2 linked regions of the Caenorhabditis elegans genome follow. The protein of the gene in region 1 purifies or fractionates together with the protein of each later gene. This does not show direct contact. Each region holds a gene or a part of one and is shown in the gene's direction. Other genes may lie near its edges. The genes, in order: acp-2 and mps-1.

Region 1 (12,453 bases):
TACTTTTTCTCATCTCCAGGCTCAACGCCAACAACTGCTCAGATGGTTCAGGACGGCTCCCTTTTGTTTACTCAAGTTGTGAGTGAATAATCTTTCATCTATGCATATCTACATTTATCAAATGCATAAGCTTCCAATGAAAGCTTTTCAGATTTTCCGACATGGAGCCAGAGCGCCAGGAAATGAAAAACAAACGGACACGAAGTTCTTTCCGCGAGATTATGGACAACTGACAGACGTAATATAATAGTTAAGAATCGTAAAGTTTTGCAATTTTAAAGTAATTTAAGCAAGGATACAATCACTCGTTCATGATGGGTAGATTTCTTAAAAAACGATATGTTGACACTGGATTTTTGAGTTCTTTCGTGAAGCCGAATGAGGTTCTCTCCGATTATTTTCAAAATAAAATTATTTGTTTTTTAGATGGAATGGAGATCACGTGACATAAATCGTTGCTTGAGTACAGCTTCTACCGTTGCCGCTGGAATGTTCAAAACAGAAAACCAGATTTGGTTGACTGTTCCCATAGTAACAAATCTTGGTATAAACGATGTACTATTAAATCTCCCCATTCGAGGATGTAACTTCACAAGAAATTCTAGAATAAAACAATGTCCGAAAACTGAAAAAGTGAACAGAGATGTAAGTTGGCTTTTTATTTAATTGACAAAATAAAAACTTTAGGAAATGTACGCCGTATTGTACGAATGTATGGGAGGGAATCATTCAATATTTCAAGAAATAAAAATAGATGACTGTGACAGATATATTAATGAGGTAAAATGCCCAAATGATCATAGTTGAGTTAATATGCTATGATTTTAGTACAGGAACCATGTTCCGGTGCCGGAATTTGTTCGTGATAATTTCAAAACAATTTCCGAAGAATATCTGAAAGTTCGAAATTTTCAAAACGGAATCGGGAATCGCAAAATGATTAAAGCAAGATTTGGATTCCTTGTGCATACACTGTTGGAAAACTTAGTGCAAGTTTTAAAACCTAATCTGATGTTATTTGAAAAACAAACTACTTATATTTAGAAATGCCTGGAAACACCATCTAGCTCGTATAAAAAGTTTGAAGTTTAAAGTTTATTCATCGGTAATCATTGTCTGTTGTGTCTTTCTTTATAGTTCAGTGTATTTTCAGCAAGACTGGTTATTGGGAGGAGTTCTAGATGCATTTGGTGTTCTTGATCATATTCAATCAAAATCCAAAGAAGAACCAAACTATAATACAATGATTATTATGGAATTGTGGAAGAAAAATGGAAAACCGATTGTAAAGTTCTACTATAAACCGGAGGAGATTACTCTTGAAAATCATGTTCTGCAAGATTTGACGGATATCATCCCAGGATGTTCTGGAAAAGAGTGCGCATTGAAGGTAATACTAATTATTTCAAACATCGAAATTCTGAAACGATATTCAGAAATTTAAAAGCTGTTGCAACGATACACGTGGAGAGCTGGAAGATCTTCAAGAGCTATGTGATTCACGGATTTGAAAACTATTGGAACCTGTTGAACTCGAGATCCCAAAATAAATATTTCATTATAAACTAAAATTCAAAATAAGAGCCTAGCACCTCACGCACCACTTTTTGGGCGTATGGAAGTGGAAGTCGCGAAGAATATAAGGAAGAGGCGAATATAAGGAAGAGGCGATACCAAATAATTGAAATAAAATATCTATATAAAAATGTGTTTCAGAATGACCTTTGCAATAAACTAATTGAATTTTTTCAACTGACGTCTCTTTTTCATCCTTTGAATGAGACAACTCAATCATTATTTACTATTTTATCCTATCTAGTTGGCTTTCATGTTTATTTAATCTGTTTTCTCAAATTAAAAATGAGTGCTAAAAAGGCTTGCAGTCCCATTGATGTTTCAATTCCACAAACAAAAATGGATGTCAAATCGGCAAAACAAAGTGGAAAACATATTCCTGGAAAAAGATTTAGATATATGATGTAAGTTATAGACGTTGAAAATCTGAAAAAAAAAAGTTAACTTTCAGTATGTTTATACTTTTGTCTGCGTTTGTCATTGCAATTGCACTTTTTCTTCTATTTTATGATTACTCTGAACCTTCCGACATAAATCCTCAAGCTCATCTTGCAAATTCTACAACAAAAGATCCATTTATTTCTTCAACAAAAACTCATGAAAAATCTACAAAAGTGCATGTCCACACTTCTTCAACTCCTTATCCAGTCACGCAAACTAACCCGATAAGGAGGTTGATTTTTGCACATACCGTACGTTCAAATTTTATCAATCAATCTTTTCATTATTCTGAACTGTTATATTTGCAATCCTACCTTCATACAATTTCAGATCTTTCGGCATGGCTCACGAGCTCCCAGCAAAAACGCGAACAACACGTATTATCCGAGAGGCAGAGGACAGTTAACTGATGTAAGCCTGTACAGCTAGAATTTTAAATATAGTTTTTGAACATTTAACTGAATATTGATAAACAAATCGAGCAACAATATTTTGTCATACACTTTCATAGAGTCCATCACTAGTAGCCAACACCTAATGTCAGATTTTCGGACATGTTTTCTACTCTTGATCGTGTTAGCTTATTCAGACTCCGATAGATCACCTAAACTCCTCAAAAGGATACACCCAAAGTGTAAACTTCTAATTGCCTTTAACTAATAATATTTAAGGCTCTCCACATTTGCAATTATTTTCAGCGAGGATACAATCACTCATTTATGTTAGGAAGATTTCTCAAGAAACGATATGTCGGCACGGGATTTTTGAGTGATTTTATGAAACCTAGTGAGGTAAATAGTTCATCAAATTTACTACCAGTTACATAACTTTATCAGATGGAATGGAGATTCCGTGCTGTAGAAAGATGCTTAGCAACTGCATCTGCTGTTGCTGCAGGCATGTTTAAGACGGAAGAACGAAAATGGCTGACTGTGCCTATTACGACAAACCATGCAAATCAAGATAAATTGTTGAATACTCCAGTTCATTCTTGTGACATCTTTGAGAGTGCAATGGAAAAAGCTTGTCCAAACCTAGAAGCTGACAATCATCGTGTATATCTTTCCAATTTTGAAAAACTTCGGGAAGATAATTTTTAGGACGAAAGTGCAATAATGTATGAGTGTGCTGGTTCAAATCATCCAATTTTCCAGAAAATCAGTATCGATGATTCTGACAAGTACATCAATGACGTAACTCTTCCTTCATTTTTAATCTGATGATTCAATCTTTTTCAGTATAAGAACAATGTTCCCGTGCCGGATTTCATTTGTGAAAACATCGAAGTCATATCTGAAGAATATATGAAATATCGAAATTTAAAAAACGGCATTGGGAAACCAGTAATTATTAAGTTTCGGTTCGGCGTGCTTATTGATACACTGTTGGAGAATTTAAAGTTAGTTTTTAGAGGAATTTTCGGGGAATCCGGCCGGGAGGGCGGATGTGTGAGTTTCCTCGTTCCGAAATTTTTTTAGATACCAAGAGATCATTCGTATTTCATTTAATTTCAGAACTGCTTGGACAAACAATCTTGCGAATAAAGAAAGTTTAAAATTCAAAGTTTATTCAACTGTGAGTTAGCTTGTTCTTCCAAAAATCTGTCGTTTCAGCAAGATTGGGTGCTGGGAGGTGTTTTAGATGCTTTCGGTGTATCATTTACTATATATAAAGCGCGTGTCCTTCTGTCCCTATGTAGTTTGATCTCTGATCAGAGCAACGAAATTTTGGGAAACCTTATGCTAAATGCGCAGCAGACATCGATCGAGGTCCGCGATAGACACCGTTTATCTAATGTGTTTTCTCAAAAAAGTCGGGGGCCGCGCCGTAGGTGCGGTCCACGGCTGGTTAAATCATATCCAAACAGTTGGTCCTAAAGAAGAACCAAACTACAATGCAATGATTCTAATGGAGCTATGGAGTGAGAATGAAAAGCCATTCGTGAAGTTTTACTATAAACCGGAAGAGGTTACTCTGGAAGACCATATTCTACAAGATTTGACTGGTATCATTCCAGGATGCCCAGGGAAAAAATGTTCTCTGAGGGTGGGTTCTAATCATAAAAATTACTTTTAGGATATTTTATCTTTCAGAATTTGAATAAATGCTGTGATAATACCCGAGCAACACTGGAAGAACTTGAAAATAATTGTTGAACTTTTTATAAATAATATTTTAATTTGTAATTCGTCTTCTCTATTTTCAAAACTTACTGGCGCCTTTGCAAACTCATGCATTTTAAACAAATTGTTCGAAAAAAAGAGAATGATACGTTTTGGCTGACAAAAGGAATAAAATATGTATTGTTTCTTCAGAATTGACTCAGCGCTTTCTTGAAATCATTTTTAATCATATTCCTTATTTTGGTCAGTTGGCATTTCATTTTGGATTTGAATATCCCATATACAACCTTCATATAAGATATTCTTGAACATTTACACATCCTTAGCATGTTCTCAACAGAACGTTGAACTTTTTATTTATTCTTTGTGCAGTAGGAATTATAACAAAAGATAAGATAGTAGCAAGAAAATGAAAGATAAGGGTAGATAACCAGCAATTTTCTTGTTCCTGGATATCTCTGCACTATATCTTCATCTTCTTCTAATTCTGATTTTTTGGATACTTTGGTTTTTCATTTATTTAGTCCGTTCAAAGTTGAAGTTGTTTCTGAGTACTTTTGGCAGAAGCCACGTAAGCAAGGCAGGCAGGCACTTGCATGAAAGTACTTTTATGAGAAATTATTATTAAATAAATAAATAAACTGGAAAATCTAAGAAAAACTTCCACCTCTGCGACCTCCGCGTGCTTCAGAAAGGTGATTTATTTGATTTATTTGTTTTTTTTTACTCGTGAAACACAGCTTTTCAATCTCATGTTTCAATTTCTTGTAATTTTTCAACTTCAAGCTTGTTGGTAAACAATTTTCATGTATTTTTATTTTATATCTCTAATATTACAGAAGTGAGAAATCAAAAGATGAAGATTTCATGGTTTTTGTTCATTTGTTTGATTGTTCAATTCGCCATCGCACTTTCTGAAAACCCCAAACGGATTTACACACAAGTGGTAAGATAATGTCATCCGTCTTTTACATACATAAATATTCTTAGCTATTTCGTCATGGAGCCCGTGCCCCATCAAATAGTCTCAGCGATCCTGCTTATCTTGCAAACTTTCCAAGAGGTCTAGGAGAATTGACTGATGTAAGACTGTTATTTTATTAATTTAAGTTTGAAAATAGTAATTTCAGAGAGGCTTCGAAAATTCATTTCGATTGGGACGATTCTTAAAAACTCGATATGTAGACTCGAAATTTGTTGATGGAAATTTGAAGCCACGTCAGGTATCGTTATTTTTCAGAAATTTTATTATATTTTTCAAAATTTCAGATGTATTGGAGATCCGTAAACAAAAATCGATGTCTAAGCTCAGCGTCAACCGTTGGTGCGGCTATGTTCGAAGATCCATCTAGGCATTTATATGTTCCTGTTCTTACAGAGGAGATCGGAGAAAATGTATTTAGAAATTGAAAATAAAAATAACTGATTAATCTATCCTTTTATTTCAGCTACTAAACTACGACCAAGCTAACTGTCCCCGAGAGTTAGAGCTGATCAAAGAGAAATGCCCAGATTTTGGTGGAAGTTTTCATCCGGTAAGATATATAGAGCTTTTCAGATTGGTATTGGATTTGAATAAAGTTTTATTAAAAGTCAAACATTTCAAAAATGATTATTCTTCAGTGGACGATTTACGAGGAATTCATTGCCAACTGTCTTAAATATACTCACCCAGTTTTCAAGCAATACCCTTTTCACACCATTGAAGCTCATATCAATGAGGTTTATTTTAAACTCATTCAGCGTCTAAGCTGTTCATTTATTTATTTTTTCAGTACAAAAATGGAATTCCTCTTCCACCACTCATCGCTCAACATATAAACGAAATCATGGGTATTTATGTGAATGTGACCCAGTTTATCACAGGAACTGGTAATCATCATGACCCGCGAATGATGAAGGTCAAATTTGGAAATCTTATGAACACGTTGCTAACGGACATTAAAAATAAGATATACATGGATAAAGAAGAGAAACACAAGAGTGATGGAAGAGTATCCAGAAGGGAGAAGTTGGCAGTGTACTCTACGGTATGTTATATCATATACACAACATGGCTCAGATATGTCGATAAGGTCGAGGCGTGGCGAGGGCGTTTGTCACTCGCCTCCTTACTAGCCCTCTTCGCGTTCTGTATCGAATTATATTTTCGGATGTCTTTTCGGTTTTTGGATGATATGGTTAATCTAAAACACCATTGGTGTCTCTTTTTTCGAGTTTCTAGAGTTATTTCCAAGTTCAAAATCAGTATTTGCTGATTAATCCTAATAATAAAATATTTCAGCAAGACTGGATTCTAATGGGAGTGCTCGATTCATTGAATGTGTTGGAACAAACTGTTGGACTCGACAAATATCCCGAATACAACTCAATGATCATATTTGAAACGTGGAAGGATAATGGAAAATATTTTGTGAAAGTTTTCTATAAAAAAGAAGAGATCACTGCCGAGGATCATGAGCTAATAGATGTCACCAAATTTGTGAGAAACTGTAAAAGAGAACGATGTTTGGCACAGGTTTGTTTTGAACTTTTGTTTTCTCATTCATACATTAAAAATGTATTTCAGGATTTCCTCGACTGCTGCGATGATTATCGAAACAAAGGTGAAGCTGAGAGTTGTGAAGCATCTGATTTAAAGATTCGAACCACGAGAAGCTCTCCACCTAATAATATTAGAAGAGATCTTCATGTATCGGAATTCTCTGGTCCAGAATAATCAATTAGTTGATACTGTTTCTTTCTGTAAATACATGCGAATGAAGTGAATCGATTGATATTTATATTCCATTTAAATGAAGGTTCCGCGTGAAATACTCAAGTATAAATTGTGGTTTCGATGGAAAAAGGACCTAGCTTTGCATATTGAACTTCCGTAGCCTAACAACCAAAAAAGTTTCTCTTCGTTTTTTTTTTCGTCCGATTAATTCGTCATCTCCACTTAACCGACTATACGACGAATGGGCATCGGTCTATTCGTCGAGATCCTCCTTCTCTTGATGCCGTAAGTTTTCTCTGTCGGACTGCAGAAGACAAAACAAGTCTCTTCACCTTCCTGAGCGCATTGTTCTCTTCTATTTCTCGTCCTCTCTCCTTTTATGCCTAGTTTACCGATCGGCCTGTTCTGTTCGATAATATTATCTCAAAAATATTGTTTCGGGTGGACGGAGGGCGTTTTGTTTTTAACAATATAGCCACGTGGCCCGGTTGTAATTTCTCGGCAAATCATTAGTTTTTCTAGCGTATTTTTTCCTACCTAAATTTGTGAGAATTAGCATCAAAAATGGACATTATTTATTTTGAAAAGTTTAATTATTATTCCCCAAATGCGAAATTTTGTGCTAAGAATACGGTATTCAAATCAATCAATAAAAGTCCGCAAAAACACACATTCGAAACTACAGTACTGTTTAAAGGGGCATGCCCTTTTGCATTTAACAAAAACTGTCGTGCCGAGACCGGGTACTGTAGTTTTGACGCAAAAATTACGAAATTTTTTTGTTCTCAGTTTTCAAGTTCAGGCAAAGTTAGTTGAATTCTCAAAAAATAATATTTAATTACAGAGGCATAGTATTTTCATTAAATAAGATGACGTGTCAGGTTTTCTGACAATAGTTTGCGCGTTGTTTAGTGCGCATTGTGTGCAAACACCACTGGTCCGCAAGTTTCCGTGCCCAGGTTCCAACGGATTTCTATTTGTTTTCCAGGATCCGTTTTCTATTTTTTCAAGTCTTTTTCTCTATCTTCTATATTTTCCGACAAAAAAGAGGGTTTCTGTGTGCACACTTGTCCACTTTTCACCACATTTTTATATACCTAATTGTTGTCGTTTCAATTAAAATTCGACATTTTTCTCAAATGACGTCACTTTCAGAATGTTTTTCTATTTGCACACGTTGAAAATTTATTTTCAGGGTCCTGAACCTGAAATATGTGGAGGTTTCCACTGATACTCGCGTCGGTTTGTTGGCTGACAACAGGTATGTCAGGAATATTCAATTGATTCAAAATAAATTCAAATTTCAGCTCAACAACAAAACGTAGCGAACGATCCAGATAAGAAGTTGGCCAGTTTCGATGCATGCAAAGCAGATATTCATAAACATTGTAGCCGAGTGAGTTTGACATTAAAGCTATTGATAGGCAAATAAAATATTTCAGCCTGATGTAGATCTAACAAGCGACATGTCGATTCTTGAATGCCTTCAAGATGCCGGATTTTCTGAGACAGCGACTCTATCCGAACAGTGTGAGCAACTTGTCTGGGATTTCAAGGTCAAAATAACACAAGACGAGCGTTTCGTATCCGCGGCCAAACAATATTGCGAGGAAGAGTTGAAGGGAAATGCTGCAATGAATCTTTGTACATCTCAAACTCAACCTGGATTTGCTCTCAGTTGTCTCATGGAATTCACAAAAAATGTTACTGAGACTGGAAAATGCCACGCATTTTTAGGTGAGTATTGTAATTTTAAAAACACAAAATTTCATCAAAATACATTTAAATTTCTCTTCGTTTTGAAGCCAGAACAGAGAGACTAGCTTTCTCGGATTTCCGTCTCGTTGGTCCATTCGTAACAAAATGCCGTGCTATTCTCGATAAATTCAAATGCAACGTCCTTACTCCTGATCCAGCACACAAAGGTGTTCGTGTCGCACATACGCAAGGAATGGCTTTGGAATGTATTTTGGATAAAGTTGTGAAAAATGCAAAGACTCAAGCAGATGCATTGCAAATACTTGGAGATGATTGTAAACATGAAGTTCTCCGACTTGCAGAGATGCAGGCTGATGATTTCCATTTAGACAGACCGCTCTTCTTTGCTTGCAGATTAGACAGAGAGGTAAGTTTTTAGGAGTTTGAATTTTATAAATGAGCAAAACATTTTTTCAGAGATACTGTAAAGATGTTCCATCTGGCGAAGGAAAGGTTTTCGAATGTCTCATGATGAATAGAAATGATAAATTCATGGATCCAGAGGTGAGATTTTATCAGAATATTTTAGTTTTTCCGAAAATTCTCATGTGTTTATTTACACAGGTGCAGTTTTTTTTGACTATTGAATTCTTGAAAATGCAAAAATTACAATCCTTAGATTCCGTAATCCATTTATTTATACAACTGGATCGCATATTTTCAAGAAAAAAGAAAAAAAACGACTCAAAATTATACATTAATAAAATTTTCAGTGTGGAAATTTGCTTGCCGAGAGAGCATATCTTATGGGAAGAGATTACCGTATGGCTCATCCACTCACAAAAGCTTGTCAACCAGAATTGACCAGATACAAGTGTGAACCACAGAACCAAATTGAATCAGCCGCTCATTTCCATCTGGCATGGATCCTTTTGTGTCTTGAAAATGGAGCAAATCAACCAGAACACAAGGAAGTTCAACCATCAAAAGAATGTGCTCATGAAATGATTACTCATCGTCAAATGATGATGCAGCACTTCCGAATGGCTCCAGAGCTTGTACTCAACTGTGCACAAGAAATTGATAAATGGTGTAGTCCACGTGGAGATATCGAGGCCGAAGGAAGAACATTGCACTGTTTGATGGAGCATGCTGAATCCAGAAATGAAACATTAAAACTGGGAGCTCAATGTCTTCAAGCTGTTCAACAAGTCGTTAAAGTTGCAGATATCGGAAGAAACTATAAAGTCGACAAAGTTCTGTATGGATCGTGCAGAAGTCTTATTGATGGTCCTTGTGCCCAAGACGCAGTTTCAGAAACTGCTACTTTAACATGCCTCATGAGAAATGTGGATAGTCCTGATATGGTTCCTGAATGTGAAAAACGTCTGCTCGAAGTTCAATATTTCATGGCTAGAGATTGGACAATGGATCCACAATTATATGAAGCTTGTCATCAAGAAGCCGTGAGCAGGTACGTTCATTTAATAATAGCTTGATTTAAAAAAACTTAAAATTTCAGATGTTCCGCCCTCGATAACTGGCACCAACAACATAATTCTGATAATACTGTCGATCGTGGACCGCAAGTGCTCGCCTGTCTCTACAGAAGTGCATATGACGAACAAAATCCACTTTCAGTAAAGTGTGGAACCCAAGTTCGACAACTCCTTCATGTTCGCGCCGTCCGTGTCAATTTAATTCCGGAAATTGAGGATTCATGTCGTGAAGCGCTCTCAGAATTCTGTTCCCATAACGTCAAACCATCGGAAGAAATGATGTGTCTCCAACAAAACTTTGAAACTGACAACTTTAAACGAAAACATCCGCAATGTTTCGCCGAACTAACAAAATTCACAGAAATGGAAGCAAAGGACACTAAATTGAATAGAGCTTTGAGCAAGGCCTGCAAGCCAGTTATTTCCACTCATTGTGCGCAATTTGCTAATGAAGAAATTGATCACGGAGATGTATTGGAGTGCCTAGTGAACAATAAGGATGCTAAAGAAATGAATAACAAATGCCGATCCTATGTCAATCATTTCGAGCTTATTTCATTGAGGGATTATCATTTCAGTTATAAGTTCCAAAAGGCTTGTGCTAGTGATATCGAACAAAGTTGCAAAGGTCATAATAACGATAAGTGAGTTACAGTAAATTAAAAAACAAGGAGAAACTATTTTACATTTTTCAGAGGAGAAATCATTCGCTGTCTTTCGGAAGTCCGATTCGAGCACAAGGTTTTGGGATCGCCAAAGGATTTGACAGACGACTGCAAGAAACAACTCAAAGTGGCTTATCTTCAACAAGAACAGGTAGAAGTAAGTTTTGTTCGGTGTCGTTCCGTCAGGTTCTTTATGCATGAGAATTGGATTGAAAATTTGTTGAATTATTGCATGAAATTTCATATGTTAAAAAATTTACTTATTGAGTCACTATCACATTTTTCACTTTAAAAATTCAATCCAATTCGGCTTCACTAGCAATTTGTCCCTCGTTTGGTTTTGTTGATTGCTGATTCCACTGTTTTGTTCGTATCATTTTTATGGCGCTTGGCATGCGTTTTAGAGAATTTTGTAAAAAATTTAACTTTTATACCGCGTCCAAAACGCAGAAAATCCCTTTTTTTAGTTTTCAGATAAATGTTTTTTGAAAAATTTTGGGTTTTTTTCTCATTTTGAACGCGGCATTACCAATTTTGTCCAGAAATAAAACATCACTAACTCTTCTTTTTTAGTTTGATGACAAGGAACACATGGCTGATGCAGATCCCAAATTGTCTCAAAAATGCGAACAGGAAATTAAGATGTATAAATGTAATCAAGCCGACACGTTCGAAGATACAATTGAATGTCTTCGCTTGAATTTCGAGCATCTTGGTCCAGAATGCAAATCGATGATCTTCTATAGAGAAAAGATCGAGGCTGTCGATAATTCTATGGATGACGAGTTGCAGAAGAAATGCAGGTATTGACATAATATATAAACCCCAGCTTTCTCTAAACCTGATTTTCAAGATACGATATTGGAAAGTTCTGTGCAAATAGCGATTCTGAAAATGTCTTGGAATGCCTCACCAATACAAAAATTGTTCGTTTGCTTCAGAGAGAATGCAAGGCGATTGTTAAAGAAAGAATGCAAGAATCAGCAAGAGATGTTCGTCTTCGACCACAGCTTTTGACTTCGTGCAGGAAGGAAGCTGAACAATAGTAAGTAGCTTGATTTATTAACTAACCCAAAAGTCACGATATTTGATATTGTTAAATTTCAGTTGTCCCGAGGATATGAAGAAGATTAACATGCCTCAGTACTCTCAAACAGTTCTCGATGGAGTTGTCGTATCTTGTCTCAGAGACAAGTTCCGTCAATCGATATCGGATCAGAATCACATTGACTTCTCTCCACGTTGTTCTGCCGAAGTTTCGAGAGCTATAGTTGAAGCTGAATTTGATCCACAGCTCGATCCACCACTCTACAATGCTTGCAAGAGTACTATTAATGATCATTGTTCTGCTACCATCATGGAATCAGGAGGACATTTTGACAATGTCATGGAATGTTTGAAAAATGATTTCAACAAGGGTCTCATTCGAGATAAGCAATGCTCTGAGCAAGTGGCTCGTCGTCTTCAAGAATCTCTTGTTGATATTCATTTGGATCCTGTTTTGCACGAAGCATGTGCCATGGATATTCAGAGATATTGCAGAGATGTTCCGCCAGGCCACAGCAGAAGTGAGTTGATTAAAATCATTTAATTTTTCATGAATGCATATTCTGCAGTTGTTATGTGTCTCATGGATTCGGCTGACAAGCAGGAACTATCCAAGGAATGCAGCACAAAACTGAGTGATCGAAACAAGTTGTGGATGAAAGCTCACTCCGAGTTCCAAATGGCTC
Region 2 (12,440 bases), 2.1 Mb from region 1:
CCACTATAGTACCCCGACTATATCCCTACACTACTAACCCCAACTCACTATCCCTCCAGAAGCGGAAACTTCACAGACTACAACGACTACATATATAATTTCACAAATACCATATACCGTATATTCTCTATTAGTGCTGCATCTCCAGTAGTACTGCAGACTCTATTAGTGCTGCACCCCATTTTCTACTGAAAAAGTCACTCAATAGTTTTGACATTTCGGGGAGTGTTTTTGTATATTTTTGAAGATTTCTAGTTAATTTACAAACATAATTGAATTATTGGGTAATTTTTGTTACAAAATTTCACAGGTTTAATGGATTTCTGCTTAAAAGATGAAAGAAAACTTTTCACAGTTTTTTATTCCTAGGTTACCGTGCTGCCACGCTGTAAACTTGCCCAAGTGGAATTATGAAACCAATATTGATTTATAAATCATTTTTGATTAATACAACAACCATGGAATGTGATATCATGGATTTGGACATAATGATCAAAGATACGAACGGGAACTGGAAGCCCTACAAAATTATTGTTCAGGTGAGTAATATTAAAATGATGTCGGGAGATTATTTAAACTTTTCCTATTCCTGACAGCTTGTTTCTTTTTTCAGAATATGGCGAATGATGGTCAACATGCCCCGGCTACTCCAAGAGCCCATCAAAATGACGCGGAGCCTCGATTCCAATTTGCAACTCCTCGAACTTTTGGACTCAGTCCAAGGCACGAGGTAAGCTGAAATGTTTTCGATATATGACACCTCCATTGCTTGCGCCATTTGTTGGTTAACTAGTTTTTGAATTTCTCGCTAAATATTTGAGTATCGTAGTGACGTGAACGTGGCAAGGCGTGGCTTGACAGTTTTGCCCACAAGGCCTTGGGATTTGCCAAGTCCTAATCAAAAAATACCGGGGCTTTGAAATTTTGGAAAAAATTAATTTCTTTGAAGCTTCCGCCCACAAGCATTGCGCCTGTGCCTAAAAGTTCAACTAGATTGATGACAAAACTGAAATAAATTTTGGTTCCTGGATCGGCTGGGAGTTCACCTCCTCCAAACACACTTATCGATGGCAATTCCACAATTTCTTCAGATTCCTCGCATTTGAGCAGCCACATTCGGCGATTGCTCTCTTTCTTCGCTTCGTTCAACTTATGTTCTTCAATTTTCTTATCAATGTTCTGCTTTATGGATTTATTCAGTTCTTAGCGAGAGGATCACGGATCTGGGAAAAGAGTGGAGAGCGGTTAGTTTTCATACCTGGAACTTTGGGTACTCTCCGATCAAAATGTTTTCCAGGTGCTTCGTCGACTGCTCAATCGAAGGTACCCAAAAATGCTATGGCTGGTTTCGATGGAGTAGTTTTGTACTTTTGGTTAAAGAAAGATGGATAACTCTTCTGTAGAATAACAGAAAATCGAATATTCGGAGAAACAGCCTGCACTTGAGCAGAAATGAGTTTTACTCATAAGTGGCATGGTCAGTGGCATGTTCAGATGAAACGTAAGTTTGAAAGTTACTTTTCAGAACTTTTTGCAATAATTTCAATAAGAACAAAGACAAGAGCTAAGTTAATTTATTTTGTCTTTTGAAATTTGAAAAAATTTTGAATACAAAAACAAAAATTAACTGAGTTCGCAATTCGTCTTTATTTTTAGAAATTAAACAATTCAATTTTGAATAAATAAACTGCGAGAAAAAACCATTTTACGTATAAAATAATTGTTTAAAAAGTGCAACAATTCCTAAACAATACCATTTTCAGAGTGGAACAATATGGATGAGGTGTGGATAGACGTTGTCGAGCAACGAGCACGTGCATTGGATGAAGCTGATACAATTGGATGGTATGCAGAGGACACGAGCAAGTCGAGGATGGACAAAGTCCAATAAAGGTAGTTTGAAATAAAAATATATTCTCTTTATAAAATAGAGACACTAATAAAAATTTTAAATTTTTATTTGTCTCTATTTTGAAAATGTATTTTCTTTATAAAATAGAGACACCAATAAAAATTAAATTTTTATTCGTCTCTATTGTGAAAATGTATTTTCTTTATAAAATAGAGACACTAATAAAAATTTTAAATTTTTATTCGTCTCTATTTTGAAAATGTATTTTTTTCATAAATTAGAGACACTAATAAAAATTTTAAATTTTTATTCGTCTCTATTTTGAAAATGTATTTTCTTTATAAAATAGAGACACCAATAAAAATTAAATTTTTATTCGTCTCTATTGTGAAAATGTATTTTCTTTATAAAATAGAGACACTAATAAAAATTTTAAATTTTTATTCGTCTCTATTTTGAAAATATATTTTCTTGATGAAATAGAGACACTAATAAAAATTAAATTTTTATTCGTCTCTATTTTGAAAATATATTTGCTTGATAAAATAGAGACACCAATAAAATTTTTAAAATTTTATTCGTCTCTATTTTGAAAATGTATTTTTTTCATAAATTAGAATTAGTCAGTGGGATGGTCAGTGGCATGGTCAGTGGGATGGTCAGTGGGATGGTCAGTGGGATGGTCAGTGGCAGAGCGGTTAGTTTATATAACTGGAACTTTGGGTACTCTCCGATCAAAATGTTTTCCAGGTGCTTCGTCGAATGTGGCTGCTCAATCGAAGGTACCCAAAAATGCTATGGCTGGTTTCGATGGAGTAATTTTGTACTTTTGGTCAAAGAAAGATGGAAAACGTTTCTGTAGAATCTCAACAGAGTGTTGATCAAAAAATCGGAGAAACTGCCTACACTTGAGCAGAACTGAGTTTGACACATAACCGATATACTTTTGGAAATGCAGCTTGTTGTTTACGGAAATGTCAAAGTCTTTAACTGAGTCGTTTTTGGTAATGTATGTTCAGATTAAATTTCAGGCGAGATGTACTCGCCGTCGGTTAATGACTTAAAAGGAAATGTTTTATGATAATAATTGGAATTATTGAGACTGGATGGGAGTTCTGTTTTATAGAGAAATGTAATTTGAAATTGGTGCTTCGTAACATCACTAATATCAGTTTCTGTCGAATATGAAATTTTTTTTTATTTTTTTTTTCGAAATAAATATGAATGCACCGTCTGTTTTTAACAATTTCTACCATATTCAATCTGCTACAAATACTCTCTATGTCTGTTTCAACGTCATCTGACTTTGCTTTGCTTTTTGGTCGTTCATAACAGTTGTTGAGAGTGTGAGTGTAAGAAGCGATGACCCAAACAGTTTCTCAATAATTTTCCATCTATCCAACAGGGATTCAACACGTTAACCTGAAACATTGTATTCATTTTAAATCGGGCATTGGTCTAGTTTGAATTTGAAGTGTTAAACATCAACTTTGAACAGTTAGATAGTGACTCTAGAGCAACGAGCGCCCGATACGAAACATTATCAAAGAAACGTATATTTCAGAACTAGAAACATAGCAAATTCATGCTTTACCAACTGCTTAATTCGCTTTCCTTCCTTTCAATTTTTCGCACATTCGCGTGCCTGTCAACTGCCTGATAGGCTTTCTGCCTTCTTTCTATAACCCCCATCATGCCACACACGCATTTTGTGTGGCATGATGGGGGCTATAGAAAGATCCGAAAAAAATGTCCAAAAACTACACAAACACCGCGGTTGAGATCACTTTTTTTCGCTTCCAATTGGGTTACAGTGAATTCTGTGGAATATATCAAGATATTGAAAACCAAATTGCCATTTTAAGTTTTAAAAATTTAAAATGGATACATTGTCAACTTAAGCATAAAGGATCGTTGGCTGGCAAGGAAGAAAAATCACAAAATTTGGGGGAGCTTACTTTTTTGACTTTATAAATTTTCACCAAATGTCACTTCCGTCACCGGTAACCAATCACAAAAAAATTTTCATGAAATGTTTTTTAGAAACAAGGATACTTTTATTATATAATAATGAAAATAAATCATTGGATAAATCTCATTTAAAAATCTCAATTAAGCTAAATTGAGCCTACTTGCGCGCCACGGTCGACTGGGTTTTTGAGTTTCTTGAGGTCTGTGCGGCTGTAGGTAAATGTTAAGTTTTATATGTCATTATGTTCGATTTTTTCTATTCAATAAAATGTATATATTAACTTGTTTTGATCGCTGTCCAAGAAAAAGTTACAGTTCCGTAAAGTGGTCGCCATAATTATGGACCACCCAGTAGTTATCTGAATCAGTTGATTAGTTTCCCTTCTTTTCGAAACTTTGATAATTTCTGGTAGAGCAGAGTCAACCAAATGAACATCATATAAATACAAATATTTATTCAGTTGATAGTTTTTTGGTGTATCATTTCACTAAAAAGAGCTATGACTTGATGGGTGATTACATATGAATATATGTAAGAACAAATAGTAGAACAGTGTAGGTAATGGTTTCGAGTTTGATGTTTTTTCGTTATTCTCCAAATCAGGAAAGTGTGAATAAAGTCATTACTGGTTTGAACTGGTCTTGAACTCTTTAAGTGGCTCTTGAAGTGGATCTCGGTTCAAATTTTGACTTTGTCACACACTAGTGAAAAGTACATTAGTAAATGAGTCTCTCAGTAAAAGCCAACTTTTGGCAATTTCCGATGGCGACAGTTTTTATTTTGGTATACATCAAACACAAACACTTTAATCCCTTCTTTCTCCATACTCTATACTTCCATTCAATGTCCTCTCCGATGATAATAAAAAACATGTGAGTATGTCTGCGTCTCTTCCAGAATCTGCGCACACAAATATGTGCTGCTATGGAAATGCATGAAAATCAAGGGAGGAAAGCAGTCTTCGAGAGCAGTGGCGCCAGGGCTCGTTTGTGCACCACGTCGTCTTCTTCTCATCGATTAGTGTGTGACACCTACTACAACTCATCATATTTCTGAAAGTTCATTTGACCTAATCATTTGTTTCACTTTCTGTCTGATCGTTTTAATTGATTAGTTTTTGGCGTTATTAACTCTGACTGACAGTACTCTAATCTTTCCATGCACAAAAATATCAGTCCCACGTGCCAAGAAGGCATTCGAGAAGCATGCATCACTTTGAAAAATGCTTGTGATCCCCAGTGAGTTTTGATATTTTGTGACAATTAATCGGGGAAAAAAGACAAACAAAAAGTCAAACTTTGGTATGAAAATCTCTTAATGAAAAGTGGCAATTTTCAGAGTACTTGACAAGGCTGCAATCCGAATGAGAGAGTACGAAAATGAGTTCGGTCGAATACTTTATACAATATCAATTTTAATAATGTTCTCATTTGTCATTATTCTCCTAATGGTACGATCAATTCGGAGAACACAATCAACAGTTGAGGTACGTTTGGAATTTCACAGTAGACAATCGAACTGTATGAAATTGTATGAAATTAGAGAGGACCGTAGGTTTTTGTATGTTGTTTGAAAACAAAAACCCGGTCAAATCAGAAGTTTTGTTACAAAATTTTAATAAATGTAGAAATTTTGAAAAAATGCTAATAACTTCAGTATTAAGCTACATGAAGTTCTCTATATTTCAGATGGATTCGCTCCTTGATGCTATGCGAATTCGAGAAGAATTAGAAATACAGGAACGTAAAAGAAGACGATTGATGAGAGCAAAAACCCAGGTATATTTATGAAAATACATCGAAAAAAAATTAATTCAAAGTTGTAGGTGACTGCATGGCTCGTGAACAAAAACAAAGAGAAAGGACCAGAAAAGCGAAAAGATAGCGAATGGAAGCCACTTCCAAATGGAACAAGACCAAGAGGACATTACAGGTAATTAGCAGAATTTTTTAGAGAAGTTATAATCAGGGAAACTAAAGAATTAACAGAAATGGTTTTCTATTTGCTTTTATATAACCTTTAATGAATAATTATAATTACAGCATATCAACAGTCACATCAGACATTCCGGAGATTGTAGTAAGTGCTGACGACTGCATACATTCTGATTTTCCAAATCGTCCACATACTCCTGCAATCTCAATGATTTACGATTTTGGAATTGCGTCACCGGATTTAATAGAGCCCGATAGGTGAGAAAAGATGAAAACAGATTAGTAGCCAAATATGAGACACTACTAAAAAATGGCTTTTTGGTGGTTTTTATAATATTCTAGCGGTGAAACGTTTATGAAAAATGTCGAAAGTCTTATTTATAAATGCAAAATAACAACACAATCGTATTGAATTTGACCACACCGGCGTTCTAATAGATGAAACTTAAAAATGAAACATTTCATACAATAACAAAACATATTTCAGCAAATTCAAACGAAACCTCAAAGAATAATATATTTCAGCCGTAAGCCATCAATTTCCTCTTCAACAGCAATTCCCATGTCATCTTCGTCATCTTCATCAATGAATTCATTGATTGAACCAAATATGAATTCAATAAAATCAAATCCTCGAACATATTCGCTTGACACAAACGCCTCCACGTCATCGAGAACTCCTCGTGTTGATTGTGACGATAAATCATTTAGCTTAGACGTGTAATTTTGTTCTCATTTTTATATGCATTACTTATTTATCTTCACCATCTTCATTATTTTGTCCTGTGATCGTCAAATCGATTCGATTTTCAATCAACTTGTCGTATATTTACACTGCTTATGTACATTGGATGATGACTAACAGTAATTCTTTTTTTCTGGTTAAAATTGAAAAAAAGAGAAATGAAGTATTTTAGAAACCGATAAAGAAAATGCTTATTTCAAACCACCGACTCAAGAGGCAATATCGAGACCGCTTGTCATTGATGGATGCAACATTGGAAGAAGTGCCTCTGGATATGCTAGAACGTGGGTTGTCCAGAATATTTTCTCAATTCAATGCTTCCAATCATTACAAACTTCTGATATTGTTGAAAATTGCTTGTTTTCAGTCCACTCATTAAAATTTCGATGATTTTGAGCAAGCTCTTTTGAGCAAGCAATCTTAATGCCCCACCTTGGTTTTTGACGCCAACTTATGTCATAAGTTTGATCTAAAAACAGCAGTTTGGTTCAGAAATTGGCAAATATTTATGCAAATTGTGCCAGAAATGAATAAAAGCATGCCCTTGGTAGATGTCTGGTAGATGGTAGAGATTCCGTGGACACGTGGGAAATTAAGTCGTGGCTCTGTTCTTTTAATGAATTACAAAAAATAATACGCACAAATTTCTGTATTTTTTTCAGTCACGTGGATTGTGCTGGCCTCGTCTCCGTTGTCCGATGGCTTCTTATTCGTAGATTTGACGTAATAATTTTTTAGTTTTCTTTAATTTCCCAATTACAAATTTCAGGTGACTGTTTTCCTGCCTGTTGTTTACAACAATGTTAATAATTATAACTCGAAAAATGCGGAACTACTTGCAGTAAGATAATCTTTGTTCTCTAGGCTTTTTGGATTCTGATTTTTGATTTTCTCAGAAATTGGAGCAACTTGGTATTGTGACATTCACGCCGGCTAGAAGTGGTCGGGGACTACGAAAGTGAGTCAGAGTCGGAATGAAGTCAATGTGGGCAAGTCACGTGTTTTTCAGGGCGTTTATCAATTATGATGATTTGTATGTGGTTTCGTATGCAGCCAGACATGGAGGTACAATTGTCAGTGGAGACAAGTTCAAAGATATTCTCAATCAACCGTGTTACAGGTAACATTCCTATCATATTGTAAACTAGACTAGGACTTTTTCGGCTTTTTTAAAGCTATGCATTAAATTCAAATTTAATATTACACTGGTTTTAGTGACTTCCACCACGTCATCAGAAACCGAACAGTCGATGTAAAATTCCGACCGCTAACACTCGATTTCGTCGAATATCAATCAGATCGGTTTTATCGACATGCTCCCGAACTATTCACATGTAAGAAATTATTTCTATTTTTATAATCGAACATCATCTAGAATCTTGTTATTTTCAGATGAAAACACTAGTCAACGAACCGAATCTTTGCGTCAACGACTATTTGCGTTGCCTCATGAACCGGACTATAATCTTGTGAAAAATTCGAAACGACAAGTGACTGATGAGAGGAGAGCTTACTTGTGTGCTGAACTTGAAGCTATTCTCATTTCAATGAGTTATGCAGCCGGGAAAATGTTTCGAGATGTTGCAGAATTGCCATGTATTGATAATGTATGTGTACTTGTCCAATTGCCAAAAAATAAGGAAATATTTCAGTGTTTTCATGGATTAAGAGTGGAAGATGTTGCTCCGAAGAAATTTGCGGATGCATTCTACAGAAAATATCCGAAACGAGAAGGAAGATGTGATTTACTTCAAGAATGGGTTATGGAGCCTGTTGTAGAAGTTTCTGAGAAACAAACAAATAGCAATGAACTAAGTGATGATGTTCTTGTTCCAACTCCATTGCCTCTCCCGGAAAAGTCTAGTCAATCTGTCGTGAATGTTAATAAAGGAAAAATCGAACTTCCAAGAGATCATTCCCTTGGGTCGTTGCTTCAATGGTTCACACTGGCTGAAGAAGCAAATAAAATCAAGAAATAATAATCGAAATATTGATTTTTGATTGAGATCTGTTTCATTTTTACAAACAATTCGATAAACGTTTCGATTTTTTGCATGTTTTCTTTTTTCTATCTCTCGATTGATATCTTTGAATGACCTGACGGGTGCACGTGTTGAGACAGCTGTCGTTCTGAGAGGACAGGAGACTTTAAACTATTCAGTTAGGATCTCTTTAACATCAGATACTTTTGCTTTTTTGCTCTTTCTTGTTTTCTCGAAGATTCGCAGAAGAATCAAATTTGCTGGTCTGATACATCTTATCATTTCGGTCTTGATAAGAAGTTGAAAAAAAATTTGGTGTTCGCCGAAAAAAAGTTTCTCTTTTTCCTTGATTAAATTCTATTTTCCAATTGATAACACCACTTTCTCTTTAAATGGCATTCAAGTTCCGATAAATTTAAGGTCAAATACTGCCCAATAAATAGTGTTCATTCAATTTTAATGTGAATTCATTTTCTTATCTTGTCTTATCGCAATTTGTCCATTTTCACTAGAAACATCATATCTTTATATATTTATTTTATCTTATTCAGGTAAAAATGTCTGCAGCTCCGGCTCAATTCGATGGCGTTGAAACTGCTTTGGCTGAAAAATTGGACGGAGTTTCTTTAGATGAAGTCGAAAGAATTCTTTATGGTAGACCATACAGGTTTGTTTAAAATATAATGAAAATTCGCAAATACTTTATTTTCAGAGCACTGGAAATTTCTTCTATTGCGGAAAAACTAGCACAAGATGGTGATTTCCAACTGTCTGGATACATTGTGGACGCTCAAAAAGAACAAACAAGAGCTCCAAGACTGGTGAGCAGAAATTATAAAATTAAATTGTTTTAAATAACTTTTCTGATAACCAATTTTGTAGAAAGGAAGAATATTGTTATGGGAGATGTTCTGTCTGTTTCTCGTATTTAGCTTTTCATTCTTAATCTTTGAGCACTGCAAATATTAGGTGGAAAAAGAGAAAAAGAGAGTCCCAGTTTGTTATATATATTTGAAAATATTACCATTTTTTAAGGTTCGCGTTGCCGCTATTCAAAACAAAATCCACCGTCCAACTACAGACAGTGTCGTTGAACAACGTGATGCAATTCATCAACGTGTCGGAGCAATGATTGAAGCTGCTGCTTCCGCTGGAGCTAATGTTATTGGACTTCAAGAAGCTTGGACAATGCCATTTGCATTCTGTACTCGTGAACGTCTTCCATGGACAGAATTCGCAGAATCTGTATACACTGGACCAACTACACAATTCCTTTCTAAATTGGCCGTGAAACATGATATTGTGATTATTTCTCCAATTTTGGAAAGAGACGAAGAAAAGGATGATGTTATTTGGAATACAGCTGTTGTGATTTCTCATACTGGACGGGTTATCGGAAGATCTAGAAAGAATCATATTCCAAGAGTTGGAGATTTTAATGAATCTACATACTATATGGAGTCCACACTTGGTCATCCAGTTTTTGAAACCAAATACGGTCGTATCGGAATCAATATTTGTTACGGACGCCATCATCCACAAAATTGGATGATGTACGCTCTTAACGGTGCAGAGATCATCTTCAATCCATCAGCAACAGTTGGTGCTCTCAGGTTTGTTGATTCAATATTGAAACATTAAAAACATGGAAATTTAGTGAACCACTCTGGGGTATCGAAGCACGAAATGCTGCCATTGCCAATCACGTCTTCACAGTTGGAATTAACCGCGTGGGCACTGAAGTCTTCCCAAATGAATTTACCAGTGGAAATGGGCAACCAGCGCACAAAGACTTCGGTCACTTTTATGGATCCAGTTATATTGCTGCTCCTGATGGTAGCCGTACTCCAGTGAGTTTATTGAGGTTAAACTTCAACAATGAGTAACTGCTCAAAAATTTTTATAACTGTTTCTCTCTTTTAAAAAAAAATAGCTTGAACAAATCTGATACATATTTTTTTCAGGCATTATCTCGTGTTCGTGAGGGAGTTCTCATTGCTGAACTCGACTTAAATCTGTGTCGTCAATGCAAGGATGCTTGGGGATTCAGAATGACAAACCGTCTCGACATGTACGCTCAAAAGATTACGGAAGTTTCCAACCCGGACTATCGTCCAGACATCAGAAGAGAGCAATGAATCAGTTTTGTTGTTGACATTTCAATTTATGGATGATTTTTCTTTGTTTTCTATCACCTGATTATTATTTGAATCGTAAATAAATGTAATTCAATTTAGCTCATGATTTGAACTAATGAGGTGAATAGTAGTAGATCAGAAGAGGGAGATGACTCAACTTGTTGTACTTGATAAACTTTAAAAGAAGCAATCATGTGGAAGACTGAAGCTTTATAAACTTACTTACTAGTTAGGTGATATATACTTCAGCTCTTTTGCTTTTTAAAAGAAGTTTTCTTTAGATATTTGATAAGATATTTATTCTAGTGATAATATTTTTGCTGTCGTTACTGAGGCAACATATAGAGAAACTAGGCACCAATATTATAATCACTAGTTTCTGATAACCGCCCATCTCATGTTATTTTCCCTTCTTCTTGAGAATTTTTCCTAGTTCGCAGTAAACCAAAATTATTTTGGAATTTTCGTACTACTTTTGAATAACTATTAGATACTACTTTAAAGGTTTTGTTTTGTATTTTGAGATTTTGTATGCGGTATTGTTAATTTTTGTCCCATACCAGACTACTCTGATTGCCGTTCATCCAAGAAAAATGCGTTTATCTACAATTTTTAAGTAAAATATCAATTATTATAAGATGACTGTTTTTCATGAAAATTGAGAGAAACTCAGCAAGCGGAACGGCTTGACCAATTAAAAATACGATTTTTTATAATGAAGATGTTCGTAAGATTTTAGTGTTTAAAAACATCTATGTTCACTCTGTCTTTATTGGGAAGTGGAGTAATCCACGACTGGATTACCGGTTACAGTCCCAGGCTAGAGCATGACTTGAATTATAGCCCAGTGAGGTACCACCAGGCAATGTACCTGACTCCCAGATCCGCAGTCTATAGAACGGATCGTCCCTTTTTTAAGGTCGCCCTGTCAAATCTAAGGAAGTAGACATATTTGTTCACAATGAGCAACAGTTAAAATGAAATAAAAATTTGGATTTTGAAATGTTGTGTGACTAACTCACTCATAAACTAAATTTAACTATTATGGAAATGAAGAATATTTAGTACTTTTGTTTTGTTCAACAGATTTTTTTTCCATAATTCCATAATTCAGAAATTCATTTTTCTTTTAGCGATTTCAAATCTTTCAATTTACAGTTGTAGATTAGGCTACTTTTTATTTCCGACTTTATTGTATTCATTTTGTATTCAATCGAGGTGTCTAGAATTATGGTTTCATTGAACCCAATTTTTTTTTGTTTTTTCCGTTTTGTATAGTATCAGACACTACTATTTTCATGGTGCTGTGGCAGATCCCCAGTGTAAATTTCCATCTGATTACTACAACTTGTATTGTTTGATGTTTTCAGTTGTTTCACAAATCATTCATATTCATATCTTTACAATTAAGAAGTTCTTAAACTCATATCTTTACAATTAAGAAGTTCTTAAACACATTTTTGATATCTCTGGTGGCTCGAGGCAACTTGGCTCCTCCTTCCTACTTTTTGTGCATTATTCTTCTTTTTTCTCGAATTCTCATTCAAATTACCAGTTTGCCTTACTTTATATATGCTCTGCACAGAGCTCCCTTTCTTAAATTCTTTTTCTTCATATTTATAACTTGCTTAAATTCAAATAATGGACAGCATATCTCGTCGTGCAAGATTTCGTTTTGGCAAGATGCTCAATTCTGCTGCTGCTGTTATCAATCAATCAACACTTCGTCGTCGATCTCATTTTGCCCGTTCTGCTACAACCAACAGCTATGGACCGATTCCTATTGACGGTGATAGTTCTATTCCGCTTATGTATTC

Evidence for each region.
Region 2: the proteins of acp-2 (region 1) and mps-1 purify together in Caenorhabditis elegans (affinity purification with western blotting, with the first as the bait; one study listed by BioGRID). This does not show direct contact.

What each region holds. Positions count from the first base shown.
Region 1 is NC_003280.10:8,424,456-8,436,908, reverse strand, and holds acp-2 (ACid Phosphatase family), read left to right. Parts: upstream 1-4,978; 5' UTR 4,979-4,995; coding exon 4,996-5,085; intron 5,086-5,129; coding exon 5,130-5,222; intron 5,223-5,269; coding exon 5,270-5,362; intron 5,363-5,408; coding exon 5,409-5,534; intron 5,535-5,587; coding exon 5,588-5,674; intron 5,675-5,762; coding exon 5,763-5,861; intron 5,862-5,914; coding exon 5,915-6,169; intron 6,170-6,423; coding exon 6,424-6,657; intron 6,658-6,708; coding exon 6,709-6,858; 3' UTR 6,859-6,950; downstream 6,951-12,453. Other genes in the region: acp-3 (ACid Phosphatase family), read left to right, coding at 1-78, 152-238, 291-383, 427-645, 688-780, 829-989, 1,045-1,105, 1,154-1,390 and 1 more; acp-4 (ACid Phosphatase family), read left to right, coding at 1,915-1,979, 2,027-2,267, 2,347-2,427, 2,715-2,807, 2,853-3,071, 3,117-3,209, 3,255-3,415, 3,531-3,591 and 1 more; F14E5.2 (Golgi apparatus protein 1 homolog), read left to right, coding at 8,071-8,119, 8,166-8,254, 8,301-8,595, 8,664-8,983, 9,034-9,120, 9,330-10,030, 10,079-10,699, 10,751-10,877 and 4 more.
Region 2 is NC_003280.10:6,286,694-6,299,133, reverse strand, and holds mps-1 (MiRP K channel accessory Subunit), read left to right. Parts: upstream 1-4,772; 5' UTR 4,773-4,982; coding exon 4,983-5,062; intron 5,063-5,162; coding exon 5,163-5,310; intron 5,311-5,512; coding exon 5,513-5,602; intron 5,603-5,649; coding exon 5,650-5,756; intron 5,757-5,866; coding exon 5,867-6,016; intron 6,017-6,283; coding exon 6,284-6,482; 3' UTR 6,483-6,609; coding exon of another isoform or gene 6,610-6,622; 3' UTR 6,623-6,675; downstream 6,676-12,440. Other genes in the region: nyn-3 (RNase NYN domain-containing protein), read left to right, coding at 6,610-6,622, 6,676-6,787, 7,166-7,226, 7,273-7,344, 7,400-7,461, 7,513-7,623, 7,719-7,837, 7,896-8,110 and 1 more; upb-1 (Beta-ureidopropionase), read left to right, coding at 9,043-9,152, 9,198-9,306, 9,521-10,098, 10,143-10,335, 10,450-10,623; F13H8.6 (DUF4238 domain-containing protein), read left to right, coding at 12,265-12,440.